Coturnix japonica: one gene and its partner. Each later gene encodes a partner of the first gene's protein in a complex. Links are inferred from orthologs where the notes say so. Each region holds a gene or a part of one and is shown in the gene's direction. Other genes may lie near its edges.

Evidence for each region. The genes of interacting proteins can lie anywhere in the genome.
Region 2: SNRPG (region 1) and STRAP share a complex: the UniProt entries of both Homo sapiens proteins name them as parts of the SMN-Sm complex. The link is inferred for Coturnix japonica from reciprocal best matches to the Homo sapiens genes SNRPG and STRAP.

What each region holds. Positions count from the first base shown.
Region 1 is NC_029537.1:791,443-794,585, forward strand, and holds SNRPG (small nuclear ribonucleoprotein G), read left to right. Parts: upstream 1-1,380; 5' UTR 1,381-1,467; coding exon 1,468-1,499; intron 1,500-1,696; coding exon 1,697-1,719; intron 1,720-1,848; coding exon 1,849-1,973; intron 1,974-2,458; coding exon 2,459-2,509; 3' UTR 2,510-2,631; downstream 2,632-3,143. Other genes in the region: protein FAM136A, read left to right, coding at 289-477. UniProt on the Homo sapiens protein: Plays a role in pre-mRNA splicing as a core component of the spliceosomal U1, U2, U4 and U5 small nuclear ribonucleoproteins (snRNPs), the building blocks of the spliceosome.
Region 2 is NC_029516.1:57,770,168-57,773,714, forward strand, and holds part of STRAP (serine-threonine kinase receptor-associated protein), read left to right. Parts: intron 1-76; coding exon 77-173; intron 174-2,556; coding exon 2,557-2,694; intron 2,695-3,263; coding exon 3,264-3,400; intron 3,401-3,547. UniProt on the Homo sapiens protein: The SMN complex catalyzes the assembly of small nuclear ribonucleoproteins (snRNPs), the building blocks of the spliceosome, and thereby plays an important role in the splicing of cellular pre-mRNAs.

The sequences.
Region 1 (3,143 bases):
AGGGTGAGGGAGGTGCTCCTGCTCTGCCCTGAGGCCGCATCTGCAGCACTGGGTCCAGCTGTGGCTGCTCAGCTCCAGGCAGGGAGCTGATGTAGGGACATAGAGATGGTGGAGGCCTGGAGGAGCATCCCCTGATGGGAGAAGGCTGAGAGCCCCGAGGGCTGTTCACCTGCAGAGGCTGAGAGGGGATCCAGTCAATGCTTATCACCATGGGGGAGCCCCAGAGGTCCCTTCCAACCCCTGTGGTTCTATCACTCTCCTGATCTATGCCCCTTTATCCCCTTGCAGGACCGCCTGAGCCGCTGCACGCTGCACTGCTCTGACAGAGCCAAGGATGCCCTGGAGGCGGGCGGTGGGGAGACAAGGGCACGCTCCCAGCTCGACGCCTGCGTTGCTGCCTGTGGGGACGAGCACCTACGCCTGGTGCCAGGCATGGCCAAGAGGATGCGGGATGGCTTGGCGGCCCTACAGCACTAGCGGGTGCTGTTGGGGTGGGGGAAGGTGGTATTAAAGGCAAGGAGCTGCACTCGTGGTGCTCGAGGGGTGCTGGGGGTTTGGGGTGTGGGGGTGCAAGGTGTGGGGTGGTGGCTGTGTAATGTATGGGGTGGGTGTGTGCAAAGTATGGGGTGATGGCTGTGCAGTGTATAGGGGGTGGGATGAGCCATGCAAATGTGCAGTGTATAGATAGGGTACAGGTGTGCAAAGTGTGGGGTGATGGCTGCGTAAGGTGTGTGCAGGTGTGCAAGGTGTGGGGTAGTGCTTCTGCAGGGTGTGGGGCACTGTGTGCAAAGGGTGCTGGTGTGTAAAGGGTGCAGTGTGCAAAGGGTGCAGTGTGCAAAGGGTGCAGTGTGCAAATGTTGCAGGGTGTGCAAAGGGTGCAGGTGTGCAAAGGGTGCAGGTGTGCAAAGGTGCAGTGTGCAAAGGGTGCAGGTGTGCAAAGGGTGCAGGTGTGCAAATGGTGCAGGGTGTGCAAAGGGTGCAGGGTGTGCAAAGGGTGCAGGGTGTGCAAAGGTGCAGTGTGCAAAGGTGCAGTGTGCAAAGGGTGCAGTGTGCAAATGGTGCAGGGTGTGCAAATGGTGCAGGGTGTGCAAAGGGTGCAGGGTGTGCAAAGGGTGCAGTGTGCAAAGGGTGCACACTGCCAGCTGTGAGCCGATGGCTGTGCAAGGTGTGCACGGTGAGCCGTGCAGGGCTTGCAATACGTGTATCAGTGCCTTTGTGTGTGTGCAATGCCGTGCATACAGTGGGTGTGCAATGCGCGGTGCATGCAATGCAGCAGAGCTGCAGGTCTCCATGCACGTGCTGCATGGGGGCCGCTCCAAACGCGCACGCGCGCCGCGTCCGAGCGCTCTGATTGGCTGCCGGCGAGATGCGAAGGTTGGCGGGAAAAGGGGGCGGGGCTTTGGGCGTAGCGTGCGACGTGATGACGTCATTACGCGGCGCGAGCGGCAGCGGCGCTGAGGAGACGCCATGAGCAAAGCGCACCCACCCGAGCTGAAGAAGTGAGAGCTGGGCCAACATGGGGATGAGGGGGGATGAGGGGGGATAAGGGAGGACTGAAGGGGATGAGGGGGGCCCAGAGGGTCGGGAGGGGCCGTGGGGTCCGGTTCGGGTTCGGTCTGGGTCCGGTTGGGCCCGCAATGATGGCGGTCCCGACCCCACACTGATGCGGCCTGCTCTGTTTGCGCTCTCGTTGCAGGTTCATGGACAAGAAGCTGTCGTGTGAGTCCCGCTGTTATAACGGGGTTGTGCCATGAGCCCACATTCACAAAGCCCCCCCCCCCCCCCCATCCCTCCCTTCCCTTTTAACCCCCCCCTCCCCTTGTTTCTGAATGAGCCGGTTTCTCGTAGTGAAGTTAAATGGCGGCCGCCACGTGCAGGGGATCCTACGGGGCTTCGACCCCTTCATGAACCTGGTGATCGATGAGTGCGTGGAGATGGCGCCTGGAGGGCAGCAGAACAACATCGGGATGGTGGTGAGTGCTGGGGGGGATGGCAGCCCCCAGGCCCACTTTGTGCCTTGGGCTGGGGGCTTTGGGCTTTGGGCTTTGGGCTGGGGGCTTCCTTTCAGTTCAGGCCTCCCAGTGCCCATCCGTGGCCTTGGGCACCTCTAGGAATGGGGAACAGCCTCAGGAGGGCAGAGCAGGATGGGACAGAGCCCTCCGTGTCTGCTGCAGTAACAGAGGGGTGGCAGCCCAGCTGGCTGTGAGGTCACAAGAATACATTGCTGTCTTATATCAAGCTCTCATCCACCTTTTCTATCAACCACCCTCCTGCAGGAGCCTTTTCCAGCCGGCTGACTGCTGCCATGAGCCCCTGCAGTTCTCTCATTCACTTCAGCTCTTGGAGCTGCACATGCCATGCAGCTTTCTAGGAGGAAAAGTCAAAGGGAAAGAAAACCTTCTGTGCTGTGGGCATAACGTGCTTCATCTCACCTCCTGCTGACAACTTCTCTTTGTAGGTAATACGAGGAAACAGCATCATTATGCTGGAAGCTTTGGAACGAGTATAGTGGCAGAGGAACCCTGTAGTGACCCGACCCCGTTGTGTTTTGTTTACTCACCTGAACCTAATGAAGCAACCACAAGTGTAAGCTTATTTTTTGTTAAATAAATTTTGTACTGGTTGGTGTAACCCGTGTGAGCTGTGCTTGGTGGAACTGAAGCCTGGGGCAGTTAATCTTGTGAGTGCAGCAGTGTGTCAGTGGCAGCTTTAAAGCTGGAGGATGGCTTTCAGGCAGCTTTATTTCTTTGAGTGGGTGTTCAAATGATACTGGCTATATCTTTAAACCCCCCCCCATAAATAACAGGCTGTGGCACTTCTATTCCTAGCATTGCTCTGTAAAGAGTGAAGGGGACTGAAATATCTGTCCTGCTCAAGTGTTTGCCTGCAACTTTGTGCTGGTCTCCACCTCTGTGCTGAGGCAAAAGTGGTTTTGGTTATTCTCATTGCCCCCAAGCAGACAGAACAAAGCATTGACCCCAGGGTACCAGCAAGCTTCTAAGAGTTGAATCGTGTTCCAGCACGTACGGACTCCTGTGATGCTGCTAATCTCAGTGCAAGTCCTGCAATTTAGCTTTAATCAAGTGCATTCATCTTTTCTAGCACAGCAAGAGTGAGGCTACACTAGTGGAGGCTTGTTAGTG
Region 2 (3,547 bases), on another chromosome or scaffold:
GACCAGAGTTCCTAAACTACTGCACAGTGTTAATTTATATTCTTATGTGTACTGAAATACTTGTTCTTATTTCAAGAACCTGATGTTGTCAGTGGGCATACTTCTGGTATTAAAAAGGCTTTATGGAGCAGTGATGACAAACAGATTCTTTCAGCTGATGATAAAACTGTCCGGTAAGGAAAAAAAAACCAAACTTCTAGTAGTTTTCTCTGAAGCTCACTTTTACTTATTGTGTACAGTTTCTGTCAGAGGATTGTTATTTCCTTGGGAAATAGTAATAAAGGCTGTTTGATTCTAGATTAGAATATGCACATGTAATCCAGTTTTTCATGTTGTTGAAGATATAATTTTTCTGTTAATTCTGATTTGCACCATAAACGTGTCCTCCCTGATAGGAAGAGGTGGTCTCTGATAACCGAATAGTAGAATTAATTTGATTTTTCTAATCCTAGAGGAAATTAAATTCTAGGTGAGGTCTTGTGAAGACATGCTGAAGTGTCTCTGCCTTGTCTTCTGCAGTCAAGCCTTGAAACATGCATTGGGCGAGGGTTGGGATAAAAGGCAGGGAAGCCTCTCTGGAGACAGTGCCTTCTTAATAATCATAACTGTCTTTCTCTTCCATGTGGTAAGTTGAGAAAGCTTTTCTGGTTTTGTAAGATAGATCATCCCCTTAAATGTAGATGGGCTAAAGCCTAGACAGACTTGGCTGCTAGGGAGATGAAATGATAAAGATCCTTCCTCAATCTATGCTGGCCAAAAAAGAAGGAAGATGTGCCTTGCTGCTTCCACAACTTTCTGGTTGATGTGATCAGCATCATCTCATGTCTACTTGTCTCGTTATTCTTATATTTATGGCATAGAGTAATAGTGGCTTTCTGCTTTGTGGAAGGGCAGTAGATATAGAGTGAAATCACAGTTGCAGTCTCCTTGTTTCTGTTTTGGCTCCAATTCTTTTTCAGTTCCTTCATTCAAGATAGTCAAGAGACTGGTCTTTTATTTTTTCTCTGAATTTTAGAAATTGAAATAACAGCATTGAGTTATTTAATGAAATAAGAAACTCATAATTTATAGAATGGTTTGGGCTGGAGGGGACCGTTAAGAACATCTAGTTCCAACCCTCCTGCTATAGTCAGGGACACCTCCCTCTACACCAGGTTGCTCCCAGCCCCTTTCAGCCTGGCTTTGAATGCCTCCAGAGTGGAAGCATCCACAACCTCACTAGGCAACCAGTTCCAGTGTCTACCCTCAAACCAAAGAATTTCTTCCTAATGTTTAGTCTAAATCTACTCTCTTCCAGTTTAAAACCATTTACACTTGCCATGTTCCTATGTGCCCTTCTAAAATGTCCCCCTCCAGCTTTCCTGTTGGCCCTTTCAGGTACTGGAATGTTGCTGTAAAGTTCCTGTAGAGCATTCTATTCTCCAGGCTGAATAGCCCCAGCTCTCTCAGCATGTTCCCGTAGGGGAAGTGCTCTAGCCCTCTCATCATCTTGGTGGCCTTCCTCTGGTCCCACTCCAACAGCTTGATATTCTTATGCTGGGTGTCTCAAAACTGGCCACAGTACCTCCAGGTGAGGTCTCATGCAGGTAGTTTAGAGGGGCAGGATCACCTCCCTCGACCTGCTGGTCACACTTCTCTTGTGTTGAGTTTCATCAAATTACACTCCCAAATCCATCTCCTCAGGTCTGTTCTCAGGCTAAAATCTGCTCAACCTGTGTCTGTGCTTAAGATTGCTTCAACCCCAGTGCAGGACTTTGCACTTGTCCTTTTTGAACTTTGTGAGGTTAGTGTGAGCTCACCTCTCAAGCCTGTCTGGCTTGAGATGCATCCCTTCTCTCTAGTGTGTCAGCTGTACCTCAGCTTGGTGTCATCTGCACATTTGCTGCACTCAATCCTACTGTCCATATAATCTATAAAGATATTAAATAGTACCAGTCCCTGAGGAATGCTACTCGTCACTGGTTGGATGCTGAGCTGTTAACTGCAACTCTTGAGTGCAACTGTCCAGCCAATTCCTAATCCACTGAGTGGTCTATCCCTCAAATCCATTTTCTCCATTATGGTGACCAGGATGTTGCGTGGGACAGTTTGTTATAATTTAATTTGATTTTAGCTTAGATATTCCTTGCCTGCCTAGGCAAAATGCTAAATTATATTAAACGAGTCTATTAGTTTCTTAAATTAGTATTATATATATATGTTTTGTGTTAAAAAGGCAGAATGCAATCTTAAGCTTTGCTTCTAGAAAGCTGTAATGCTCAGGAGACATGTAATAAAGCTTTTTGTCTTTTAAGAGAATCCTTGAGTAGTTAAGCAGTATGTGTACTGTTTAATGTAGTTGATACGTTTTAAAAGTAGCAGTATTTTAATGCAAACTTGTCTTAATTCTCATGTAAGTAAAGCTAAGCAAAGCAAAGAATGCTGCTGAAAATCTAAAGTGTCTGTAGAATATTCTTTATTGGGGGTTTTTTGCAACCACAGCATGCCATGGGTGGAGGTGGAAACTGGTGTGTTGAATTGATCTGAGAATCTTTCTTCTTTCTGATTTTTCTTAAGCCTCTGGGACAGGAGTACCATGACCGAAGTGAAGGCGCTAAATGTTGCAATGTCTGTGAGCAGCATGGAGTATGTTCCAGAAGGGCAAATACTTGTGATAACCTATGGGAAAACTATTGCTTTTCATAGTGCAGAAACGTGAGTCTAAAACACAGAATCTTTTTGAGTTACGGGTTTGATTGTGAGTAAAACTGACAATACAAGGCCACGATCATGAAGCTGTTAGAACCCATGTCAGTAGATATCTTTGCCTACCATGTTGTCAGAGACAAGGTCTGAAACAACTATCCTTTTCTAACCTAGTGGTCCCCGATTGTCTGCAAGATGGTAGATTGTAATGGATCAGTACCATTTTCATGGTTCAAAGCTAACTGGAGTTGTCATTAAATAAGATTCTCATCCAGAGTTCAATTTAGTGCTTTAAGAGAACTAATTCATACAGTTTCTATGATGTTTTAAAGCAAGTTGCAGTCATAAATATGTGCCAGAAAGTAGTATGAAATATGTGAACTTATCTGTGTGCTTTGCTTGTTCTGAACTTGTTGTTTCAAAACTTTATGAGCTTGACTTGCCAGTGTTAAAAATTTGTTTCAGAAACTGCATGTGGGTGTCTTCTGTCTTTCTTAAAAGCAACTATGAATTGTAGAATCACAGTTCCTTTGCTTTCAGGACCTGCTTTAAAATACCTGTTCTTTCTCCTCCCTCAGTCTAGAGCAGATTAAATCATTTGAAGCACCTGCTACAATCAATTCTGCATCCCTTCACCCAGAGAAAGAATGTTTGGTTGCAGGTGGTGAAGATTTTAAACTCTATAAATATGACTATAACACAGGAGAAGAATTAGGTATGTTTGACTTCAATAATAAAAAACAAGTTTTGACAAGTATTAGATAGATGATGTAGCAGCTAATGAATTAAACTTGTAGAGCATGCTGTGCTGCGAACTTATTTGAGTACAAGATAATGGAAAGGTATGTAGTCAGTTAAGAGG